Drosophila melanogaster: one gene and its partner. The gene in region 1 interacts genetically with each later gene. Each region holds a gene or a part of one and is shown in the gene's direction. Other genes may lie near its edges. The genes, in order: DCTN2-p50 and Rab5.

Region 1 (4,060 bases):
TCGCAGCTGGCCGATGACCGACTGGATAGCCTCATCGGTGGCTCCATTGACGCAGTGATTCAAGTGCAGTGATCGCAGACATCGTAGGTTACTGGCAATTGCCTTGATGCATTCCTCGCAGATCTGAAGGTATGAAACGTTCAGCTCCTGTATTACCGGATTCTCCTCGCTAGCGATGCCTTCTATGATGCCGCTGCTTGTCAAGTTATCGCAGTTTGAGATGTCCAGACTTTTGAGACACTTTAGCTTGGCCAAGTGGATGGCACCAGCATTTGTAATGCTCAGGCAGCCGTTCACCTTCAAGTGCTCCAGCTGCGGATTAGTTTGTACCAAGGCGGCCAGATTTTCATCGTTAACACACATTGTGGCCGACAAATCGAGGGCACACAACTGGGGCTGTGTGGCTAGAAAGTTCAGGATTGTGGTGCAGTTAAGCTGTCTGCATCCGGCCAAATAGAGGCGCTGCAGTTGGAGATTGAGGTCGCAAAGGGCCAACAAAGCCTGGCCAATTAGGGTGTGGCTAAAGTTCAACACGCGCAACGTACGTCGCTGCAGGTTCAGAATGGTGAGGATGAACTTGAACGTGAGCACAGACTCGCTGGGCAAAACGTGATCCGAGGAGCTGGTGGCAGGGTAAAATCTGCGATGAATAGCATTGTGAAAGGCTATGTGACAGCCGGACATGTTAATCGCTTCCAGACTGGGCATGAACGATGTGAGACGCATAAGAATGGCATCCGTGAGGTATTGGTTCTCGCACAGCGTCAGCTCCTTGATGCCGGCCAGATTGCTTGCCAGGTCGTTTAGGTCAGGACAGGAGTTGTTGTAAGAGTCCAGGAAAGAGCCGGACATGAACAGCGGCAGACAGCGCTTCAGCGACAGCGAGTGGAGATGGGGCAGCACGCCCAGCATGCCGTAGAACTGTTTGTCATTCAAATCCACATTGTCCAGAGCCAGGGACTGAGCGGTCCTGCCCATGAAGCGCATCAATTCCTTTACTTGTCCCAGTGTCACGTCCTCGAACAGGAAGTGCTGGAAACGCCGCTCGCAGCGCATCAGATCCACTCCAGGACTCAATTGATCCGATAGCACCACCTTGGAGAAGCAGACTCGCGTGCGCTGGTTAAATTCCGCCTGATCCAGCGCCGCATGCCATCGCTGGCAGGTGGATCCTGCCGCTTGTAAGTCCGAGTAGCCGAGATAGCTGAAAATCTTCAAAACAATCTGGGGGCGGAACAGAAAAAAACAAAATCAGCTGACTGCCCTAACAGGTATATGAATATGCAGATATAGATACGCTCGAAATGATGGATTGGTCACGGGACCGCGGCAGTCCGTTCACATTATATGCTCACCTCCAGCGGCAGATCATCGTATCTATGCAACCCGTACTCTAAGCCAGACATTACTCTATTGTTTTCGGATGCAAAATATTAAGATTAGTACAACCAACTAGCAGCTCCCACCGCCCACTCGCTTCGCCCGCAAACTACACGAAAACTACAGTGTTGACTAACTTAGTACCTGTGCTAGGTACAGTAGGACCGTGCCTTTTTTCTATCCTCACTGGTCTATAAAATACCAGAAGAAAAGTGTACCTTCATTGATTTACCAATTGGAAGTCGATCATGGAATTATTTACCTATTGCTTATGAATGATTTTAAATGTATATCGTTTTTCCTAAAATCAAAATAGGTTTAAATTAGCACAAAAAGCTTTAATTTATTTTTATAAATGTTTGCATCTATGAATCCAGTTAACAAAGTACAATGTGCAAGTACAATTTATTTATATCGATGATATATTTTGCAATACTATTTACTCTTAGCTTATTAGCCGTTACAAGTAATAACTGTCTTTTTTAAATGACTTTTTAGATACCTCTGTTTATAAATACTCCAATGACAACTGCACTTTGGCATTTGTTTGGTAACCGCGCACGGTAACTTTTTTTATGACATCAGATCGAATTGATTGTTGTAAAAAAGGATTTTTGAAGGTTTATAATTATTTCGTTGCCAAAGGATTCCAAACACCGCCGTCGACGTGCCCACAATAATGGCCGATCCCAAGTTCCAGAACCTACCGGGAATAGTAAGTCGGAACTCCGCACCATGGCAGTGACGTTTAAGCTTTCGTTTTTGCCCATTTATACATATATGTACTTTATGTTTTTAGGCTTATGACCAGCCGGACGTGTACGAAACTCCAGATGACCCGGAGCTCGATACATCCGACTACTACGAAGAGGAGCCGGAGAACGAAGCCATCGAGCGACTGCACATCTCGCCGAGCGTCGCTCACAAGCGCTTCAGCGGAGCAACGGTCGAGGGGAGTGTGGACTTCACGGATCGCATTGGACGACGCATGTGCCGGGGTTACGATACGCGCGGCTCCAGCGACTACGAGCTGGTTGGCCAGGGCGAGAAGGAGACGCCGGTGCAGAAGTGCCAGCGCCTGCAGATCGAGATGAACGAGCTTCTGAACGAGGTGGCCGCCTTGCAGGTGGACCGCAAGGTAGCCGACGAGGAGAAGCAGTCGTACGATGCGGTGGCCACGGTTATCAGCACGGCCCGAAAGGTGCTGGAGTCGCTGAAGCTGGAGCAAGTGCTGGGCAAGGAGCAGACGCCTGGAAGTAAGCAGGTGAAAGCACTCATTAGCCAGGTGGAGGAGTTCAAGCAGTCCGGCGTTCTCACAGCCATACCCACGCCTGGCACCGATCTGGCGGCCACGGCCCGCGTAGCCAGTCTAGAGCAGCGAATCTCGCAGCTGGAGAAGGTGCTGGGCGCTCAGCCGGACAAGTTGAGCCGCCTTACCGCCGCCACCAACACCACCAATGTACTAGAGGCAGTGCGTCATCTAAGCACCAAGGCGGCCCTGATACAGCCTGATAAACTGGACACCATCGAGCAGCGCCTGACCTCGCTGGCCGGCAAGATGGATGCTATCGCCGAAAAGTCCAGCGGCAGTGCCCAGGACGCCAAACGAGATCAGAAGATTACGGAACTATACGACATCGCGAAGCGCACGGAGCCAGTGGTGGAAATACTGCCGCACGTCATCGAACGCATGCAAGCCCTCGAGGCCCTCCATAAATATGGTAAGCAATTCTATTTAGCATTTTAGCATTGTGCTTGTTTCTGTAACTAATCAACTTGCTCTGCAGCAAACAATTTCGCCAAGATCATCGCAGAGATTGAGCAGAAGCAGGGAACCATCACCACTAGCTTGGTGAACAACAAGGAGCTGCTGCATTCCGTACAGGAGACTTTCGCCCAGAATCTGGAGACTATCAACAGCAAGGTGGCCAAGGTGGAGCAGCGTGTGGCGGCCATATCGTCTGCCAAATGAGTGGATGCATACCATGCGTATTAAATAAACATAGCTTATATTTATGAAAGATACCTATAATAAAGAGATCTACATTCGAGTCCAGTTCCAGTCAAAAAATAAATGCAAAGTGATCTGGAATTTAAAATGAGTTCATAATAAATATTAATATTAAAAGTGCTGAAGCTAGTTTACGAATATAAAATGCGATGGAAAATAAATCTTTAAATAATTTCGACTATCATTTTTAATAATGTATACTGATAAAAACTATTTTTAAAATTGCACATTGAAACGGAATATTTAAATTGCATACCGTTAAACTCGCAGTATATTCTGGTCGCACGCATTTGGTATTTCAGTGCGTGCCCTGTGGTATATTACGTTGGCTCAGAGCACGGTCACACTGGCCGTTCCTACGGTTCTTAAAAATATTAACGATTCCAGTTAAATTCAAGATCAAAAAGTCTCGTTGCAGCGCAAGCGAGTACAAATTGCATTCACAATTGTGTGTAAGTTGCGCAATTAGCATAATTAAAGATACTTAAAGGCCGGCGGGCACTACTGGGCCACATCTGCAATGGGGAAGCCAATGGGAAAAGTGATGACGGGGCTTACTCCAATTGGACGTGACACAATTTCGTTCTGAACTTGTACCTCCCATAATATTTGTGTTTTTTCGCTTTATTTACACGAGCAGCACGAAGGGACATTGCAAGATGAAGATCA
Region 2 (8,160 bases), on another chromosome or scaffold:
TCGAGTCTCCGTTTAAGGTTGGACCTTATGGGCTTCGTTTCCACCTTTTTCTGGATTTCCGGCTCGGCTTCTTTCTCCGCCTGATCCTTGAGTAACGCGGAGGTTTCACTTCCTAAACCAGAATCAGACCCACCATCTCTAAGCTCATCCTCTTTCGGTTTGGCTGGCTGGGCAGGCTCCAATGATGCTTGGTTGTTGGACACCACCTCCGCTGATCTGGTGGCCATTTCCGTCTCATTGTTCAACTTCAGCCAAAGAAGTTCTCCACTGGTGTCGACCTCCTCGTTTGTGGTGACCGACGCGGAGTCAAGAATGTTGTCAATTGCCAGTGGGTCCTCGGAGACTGCGTCGGAAGCTATTGAAGAGTTAAGATCCGCATCGCCTAGTACGATTATCTCATTATTAGGATAGTTCTCCAGCTCAAGGAACTGCTCCTCTAGTTCGGTGTCCGCCGGGCCGTGAGCAAAGTCCGCCAGTTCATCATCGAGCTGCTCAAGCGGCATGGGTAGGGAAGCCAACGCCTTGGCTTTCGCTGCGTGCACCTTGCTGGCGTCAATTATGGAGGTTTTGATCTGCCTCTCGATGTCGTCGTCGTCATCGTCCAGGTGGGGAAATATTTGCAGCTGATGCTGCCGCTCCTCCGGTTCGCTCTGATTATCCTTGTGATCCAGATGCCGCTGATCCTTCCTTTCGCCTTCGTCGTGGGCAGTTAGGCTGGTGGTCCCCTCCCTTTGGCCGGCGGCCTTGTTTCCTGATGGGCTAAACATATTGGAGCCGCTCGCATTTTTTTGTATGTACGTAAATATTTTTTTTATAGGACTAAACATGCTATCCGTGTCGAGGTCCCTAGATCATTGAGTGTCCTTTGGTCATCTGCAAGAAAGTAGGAGGAAATGGTTTTACATAATGTTGCTTGGAAATTTCCTTCGCAGGTAGCGAAAACGTATAGATCAGGTGTGTATGTACAGTGTCCATTCGAGAGGGAGAACTGCCGGGAATGCGAAACTTTATTTCTGAGTAAATTAATTACACCTGTTTACGTTTCGTAAGAGCCCCTGACCAGGTCCTAGATCCAACAAACAAATTGCCAAAAGCCTAATGAGTGTACCTTTTACAACTTGTGTAAATATTTAGAAATATTAATTTAGCTCAAGTATTAATTTTACTGCTCGCAAGAAATCAATTGTTTTCTGTGTACGTGTAATGGTTTAAAAATATATATCTTTCGCTTTAATGTTCCGCTCACTTGTATGTTCGCTTTTTCGAATGAGCACTGTGCTTGGATGGGTGTGCGTGTGCAGAATCCTTTGAAATCCTGGATCCCCGAGAATTTCGCACGCTAGAAAGGAGACCACCCGAAAAGTAGACATACCGCTAACCAAAATCAATATTGATTAGCTTCTTTTTTTGGGGGCCCACCTTTGCGCTTATATTTTCGCAGCCAAGCCAACGGCCGGACTCGCAAGATCGGTGGGATTTATCCTTTTTGCAATTTGCGTTGCAGCTGCGATAAAAAACTGAGAGCGAGAGAGATGACGAAAGACGCAACTGTGTGCGTGTGTTTGTGCAAGTCTGTGCGAGTGTGTGCGTGAAGGAGGCGAATCAGGACACAAAGGTCGGTATTCTTTTATTAACACAATCACTTTACTATGCGCCTGGCAACGCCCAAAATTATGATTTATTTTTTAAAACTCATTTCGCACTTCCGTAAACTTTTTCTTAATTTTTCACTTCTTCTTTTCTCGCAATGTTATTACTTCTTCTATTCAGTGTGCCCGTCGCTGGACCCCTGCAACATGACAACAGTCCTGCACCGATCCAAATGTACTTAAAAATACCAGGCAAAAATTGATAAAAGTGTATACGATAGAGCGTGATAGATAAATGTGACTCACTAGTAGATGGTGCGTGTATTTGCTAAGAAATAATTCAGAAGAAAAATTAAAACAAATTCACCAATGGAGCCGGTTCCTGCAAGCTCATTGATTACATAAATTCATAGTAAGACAATTATTATGTAAAATATACCCGTTTTACGATTCATTAGTTGACTCGTGCAGCAAAGAAATATGTTTTGTATATTCACGGTAAGAAATGTTTATATTAAAATTTTATTTATATTGTGTAATATGTTGGTCCCACTAATCGATAGAAATATGTATCGTTGGTTGGAGCCTCTGCTAACGAGCAGAGCTTAGGATATGTTTGGCATATTCCAACAGTCGTCCTGCGGTCACACATAAAATTCCAAGAAAGTTGTAAGTTAAGTTTACTAATAAACCAGGCGATAATTTCGCTAGCCATTAGCAAGGCAAGGAAGCTAAAAAAGACAAAAATCTTTGGCAAATCAATGGTGACGTCGCCCAGGAAGTTAATCGACAAAAACACGACCTGCGACGCGACGATAATTTTGCGAGAGGCGAGTCAGTCGCTATCTATCTCCCTCTGCGCTCGTTTCGTTTCGTTTCTTGGGGCTGTTTTGGGGCACACAATTGAAAGGAAAAAACGTAAATGCAAATGGTCAACTGGTCTCCAAGTGCCGCGTTTAGAAGAGTGCGTAATTCGGCGGAAAGTCGAGTGCTTTTGCGTTGTTGTTTTCGCTCACCCCTCGTAATTAATTAAGAAAGTTGTGTAAAATTTTTTCGCCCCGTCCGCCATAGTGCGAGTGTAAGAGCGAGCGCGATAGATGGCCCTGAATTTTGGGTGCGTTGCCCATGAGAGTGGGCGCTAGAGCGAGACGGCCGTACGACCTGCTCCAAGTGCAGCGTGCACAGTGGGTCGCAAGGCCTAAGATAGTTCACGAATCTAATTGTGAAGAGATAAAGAACACTGCAGGTGCACTCTGGTATGGAGTAAAGCTGGCAAAATCGGATCTTGGCCCGCATTATCACCCAATTTATCAGCGCTTTACACGCCAAAACGGATCAAAAATCGCGGTTCTTTGTTCCGCCTGTTTTGCGTCTTTAGTTATGAGAGAGAGTGTGGGTGTGTGGTGTGTGTGTATTTATCGGCAATCCGTTCCCTTATCGTGCAAGTTTCTCAAAGAACTGTCTTTGTCTCTGATGTTTCTATAAAGCCCAAATGTAAACAAAAACGCATCCTTCTATTTGTTTATTCTAGACCTTTTCGCTCGCTTTGCAAATGGAAGACCCGCATTTGTCAAGCTATACATATTTACGGAGTGATGTGTGGTGTGACAGTAAATATAACGCTAATTGTATTCTCCGTTTTCTAGACGTGCTTCAAATATGCGTGCTGAGAAAATTGCACTTGTTGACTTTTCGAGTGAGGCAATTCCACAGTCAAGCTCACGTGAATAGGGCCATGTTGATATAATGAAAATGTTTTAAGTTTCCAAAGGTGGATTTAAAACTTAATTCATGCTTAAAATTAAGCACAAGCTATGTGGACGTTCTTCTTTATTTCATATTTATATTAAATATCTTTAAAATCTAACATAAGATTTGTAACTTAATTCCACGTATTACAGCTATTTGATTGATAAAGGCTGTGGCTACGTATGGTTGTTGTTCTCGCTCTCATTCTCTTTTTTGATTCACTTGCATTTGTATTAGTCGCGTGAATGACGCATCGTCAGCTGTTCTAAAAGAACCGTAATTTCCTGAACGTTGTTTTATATTTTATTGAATTTTCCGCAGACGGGCGCGAAAGTCACTCCTGTTGTCCAAGTGACTTTAAAGTTTAATAAACCGCATTAATTACGGTTCGAATTAAAATTAGCGGTGAGTTATTTACTGACAGCTGTCCGCTTCTCAAGGAAAATTTTGCATTGGCTTAGTGAGACACACTGCTTGTTTTAATTAAATTTAAAGTGCAGTTTTCGTTTTGGCTTAGACGCAAAAAACAGCAAAATACGTCATTCGCTGGATAATGAAAAGTAATTGTAGGCGAAATTTCTTTATCGCAATGAGAGTGCGGTTTTCGAAAAGAGAGACCAAGTTGTCGGCTTCTGTATGTGTGTGTGACTGTGCACTTGGCTCCAAAGTCTCCGGGAAAAAAACAATTGAATGATCGGAAGGGAGGGGGAGAAACAAACAATTGTTGACTGACTGCATTTTTAATGGCAAAGAGAGGGCCTGCATATTTCGCTCTCTCCCTCATTCCTTGTTAATTTAATAACGCCGCACAGCGTACATGTTTGTCACGCTTTTACTTTCTCCACGTCTCCCCGTTAATTTATTTTGCATTGATTTTTATCACAGCTTCCGCCCTCACTCTGTGAATTCTCTTCGCTCTGCGCTCACTTCTCTCCACAAAGTAAACAAGACTCGTGTAGAATTCCATACCCCGATCTTCGTAGATTTATCTCCACTGTACAGTCTGGCTTCAATGTGTTAATTAATTTCTGTCGGAATTCTGAGATTCCCGTCGTCGGTCATAAAAACGAAAAGCATGTGAACGATACTTTGTGAAGATTTGAAAACGACTTTAGCTTAGTTAATATATGCAACAGTAAATATTTTTAAACAATTTTAATGATTACTCTCTGTTTAAAACGATATCTTGTTTCGGGATCAACGTATCTGTGGGACATCGGTAAAAGTGTAGTGGCCAATGGGGCGTATGATTCATAAAAGTGGCACTGATAACAAAAATACTGTGAATGCCACACGCATTACCGCTGAATAATGCGAGGCGTCCTCTGTGTTATGTACTATTATACACATATGTACACAAATTCACCCGCCCTCGAAATATTTTCCACCAGAAAGTGTGTGAATTATCAATTGCGCGGTAGCCCCTAGAGGAGCTGCAATAAATATCTTTTACGATAACTTAGATTTCCCGCACAAGGGACCGATAAGAATGTTGTAGTTTCGATTACTTGTAAACCCCTTATCTGCCACGAAGAAAGGGAAAAACAATAATTGCGCCTAGAAAGCGCATATAAGGTTTCCCCTTTGTGTTTGCCAAAGTATTTTTAGTTGTTGATGGATTTGTATTTGCACATGTAATTAAGAATGTTTGTGTTTGTGGATGTTTGAAGCAGTCACGCAAGGAATTTTCTAAACACAACTCATAACATTGAACATCTAATCGTGGAACAATTGCTTTCACTGATTTTCCTATCACAAGCTTATCAGTACTATTATGTTGCCAAGTGACACAAATAGTAATGATATGTTTTCGGATGTGTAACACTTATAAATATAAATATAAATAAACTAATATAAGCTCTAATGTGAGTTTTTGTAGGGCGTACTGCTTTCAATTTCAATTGAATTTATCAGTGACCATTGGCAGACGCTTCCCTTTTCCTCTGTTTCATTTACTGATGGAAAACGTCGGCTTTTTGTGCATATTCTCGGATATGTACATATTGAACTGGGCTTGTCGACGGCGTCATTAAACAAACAAAGGCGCCACACAATCATCTGATGGTTTTATGTGGGTTTTATATTCATCCACATGGGCAGCATGTTTTCAAGGGGACTGAGTTTAAGCCCTAAAAACGTACCATTATGGCAGAAGAATTGGAAGCACTCAATTTCGTTTTTATCCGTCTCCATTATAAATATGTACATTATTTGTATTTTGCAGATTCCGCATCCACACTCAGCAGCAATCTTAGCAGAAAGACTTACTCAGCAGAAGAGGGAGTGAGTTGCAGTAACCGTCCGTAGAACCAAATATCAGTTGCCATCTCAGAGGAGGAAGAGCGCATCCACATTCGCATCCGATCCAACCCGAACCGATCATGGCAACCACTCCACGCAGCGGCGGTGCCAGCGGCACTGGAACGGCGCAGCGGCCCAATGGCACCTCGCAGAACAAAAGCTGCCAATTCAAGTTGGTGCTCCTCGGCGAGTCCGCTGTGGGCAAGTCCTCACTGGTGCTGCGCTTCGTCAAGGGACAGTTCCACGAGTACCAGGAGAGCACGATAGGTGCGGCCTTTCTGACACAGACTATTTGCATAGAGGACACTGTCGTTAAGTTCGAGATCTGGGACACGGCTGGCCAGGAGCGGTAAGTATCGCTGGATAGATCACCCAACTGAAAGCTTCATCTGACATACTTATATTCGCTTTTGTAGGTACCACAGCTTAGCTCCCATGTATTATCGAGGAGCGCAGGCCGCTATTGTCGTCTATGATATACAGAATCAGGACAGTTTTCAGCGTGCGAAGACCTGGGTCAAGGAACTGCATAAACAAGTGAGTGTCAGCGGGGAAACTTGAATATCGTGCAGAGTGTTTTAATATTATAATCATTTATATTATTGCTCATGAAGTGCCTCAGTTCAATATTCTTAACTCGAGAAATTCGTTCACTTGATACGTAAATTATATTACATAAAATATGTATTAATAAAACTTTTTTCCAGGCCTCACCAAACATTGTCATTGCGCTGGCCGGCAACAAGGCAGATTTGTCAAACATTCGCGTCGTAGAGTTCGATGAAGCGAAGCAATATGCCGAGGAGAACGGGCTGCTGTTCATGGAAACCTCCGCCAAGACGGGCATGAATGTGAACGACATCTTCTTGGCCATTGGTAAGCTATAAGGAGCCGTCGTAAACGCTTCGAAAACTTTGCTAATCACTACCCCAACCACAGCCAAGAAACTACCTAAGAACGATGGCGCCAACAATCAGGGAACCAGCATAAGGCCGACTGGAACCGAAACAAATCGACCGACGAACAACTGCTGCAAGTGATGTCCCTTCGTAGGTAAGTTAATTGCGTTGGAAATACGGTTGCATTACTAACACAGTTTTTTTTTGGCTTTACAGAAAATGAAATTTCCAACGAGAGATTTGAAAAGTTTATGCTGATAATTATAAATAAAAAAATTATTTAAAAATTCAACAGAATCAGAAAGAAATACCTAAAGCCGGCTCTCGCAGGGGACGAATTTCATTTGAGAGCCACGAAACCAATAATGATAAAGACCACATAAGAATTATAAGCATTAAACAAAGGAGCTCCCATTCCCAACATAAACGAAAGTTGCAATTAAAGAAAGTTAGTTACAAATTCCCACACCCGATTTCCCCCATTACGCTCGATATCTGTCCAAAAAATATACAAGCAAACTGACACTCACGCAATTGAGCTAAAATATCAGTATAATTCCAACATAAACCATTTCAAATAACAACGCAAATTAATAATGAAAACTAAACATGAGAAGAAAGCGCAGGGTTTTTGGAGATTTCATCGTGTCGTAGAAAGTTTGAAATCGTATTGTATAAAAAAAAGAGAGAAACCCCGAAACCAACTAAGCGAGCAAAGAATATTTGTAAAGATTACATGTCGTGTAAGATTCTGAGCATTAAGTAAGGGGCAGATTCCAGTTGCAGTTGTTCTCAGCAGCGTTCCAAATAAAACAAACAAAACAAACAAACACCACAAGGAGCAAATGTTCAGGCCAGCGGCTGAAGATCCTCGCTCGCCTCGGTTTGTGGCAATGTGTGTGTCTCTACGGCTCCGGAGCTCGGACTCCAGATCCGGATACGGACGCGGATGATTCGACTCCGGGTCGCGGCGGACACGTGTGATAGTTGCAATTTATATAAATTATATATACACATATGAAAATGAAGGAAAACGAAAACCACAAAAAAAAAAAGAAAACCAATTATGCATACTTTTAGATTTTTTTATTTTTCAATTTCGCCTTGCGTTGAACTATTTTCCACATTCTAGCAACAATCGAAGATTTAATGCTACTATCTTTAAACGTAAACGAGAACGGAGATACTATCGTAATCCATAAAAATTAAACTTACATCTAGTATGCAATTAAGCGGAGAGGAAGTAAAGTGAATTAAAATAAATAAATAAAACAAATCGAACAACACAATACCGTAAACAACTTGTTTAAATCGTTCCACAAACATCAAAGATCCGATGCATATTTCTTTCCAATTCGTAATTTTTATGTTGTCTGTATGTATTTAAATTTAAAATTTATAAATTATAATAAATGAAAACATCGTATATACTTATATATATATATATATGACTGCGTATATACATATATGGTCATTCGATTTGAATCGACAATGAGCTCACAATCGCTTTTGTATTATGGGTTTTCAAAATATTAGCTCATGGCTTTATAAAAAAGGTAATTTAACTTTTTTTTAGCAGAGAAGTTCCTTTGCGGCGGAAAGACATTGGAAAATATGTTGCA

What was found.
Region 2: of DCTN2-p50 (region 1) and Rab5, changing one suppresses a phenotype caused by changing the other (phenotypic suppression), as found in Drosophila melanogaster (one study listed by BioGRID).

The regions. Positions count from the first base shown.
Region 1 is NT_033778.4:8,889,895-8,893,954, forward strand, and holds DCTN2-p50 (dynactin 2, p50 subunit), read left to right. Parts: upstream 1-1,937; 5' UTR 1,938-2,059; coding exon 2,060-2,095; intron 2,096-2,179; coding exon 2,180-3,101; intron 3,102-3,167; coding exon 3,168-3,352; 3' UTR 3,353-3,445; downstream 3,446-4,060. Other genes in the region: CG8272 (uncharacterized protein), read right to left, coding at 1-1,224, 1,356-1,406; Sec31 (secretory 31), read left to right, coding at 4,051-4,060. UniProt on the Drosophila melanogaster protein: Modulates cytoplasmic dynein binding to an organelle, and plays a role in prometaphase chromosome alignment and spindle organization during mitosis. May play a role in synapse formation during brain development.
Region 2 is NT_033779.5:2,358,988-2,367,147, reverse strand, and holds Rab5 (Rab5), read left to right. Parts: upstream 1-1,874; 5' UTR 1,875-2,087; intron 2,088-2,193; exon of another isoform or gene 2,194-2,311; intron 2,312-2,426; exon of another isoform or gene 2,427-2,835; intron 2,836-3,643; exon of another isoform or gene 3,644-3,743; intron 3,744-4,366; exon of another isoform or gene 4,367-4,473; intron 4,474-5,292; exon of another isoform or gene 5,293-5,409; intron 5,410-5,562; 5' UTR 5,563-5,719; coding exon 5,720-5,988; intron 5,989-6,055; coding exon 6,056-6,176; intron 6,177-6,346; coding exon 6,347-6,515; intron 6,516-6,578; coding exon 6,579-6,679; 3' UTR 6,680-6,692; intron 6,693-6,754; 3' UTR 6,755-7,582; downstream 7,583-8,160. Other genes in the region: Axud1 (AXIN1 up-regulated 1), read right to left, coding at 1-827.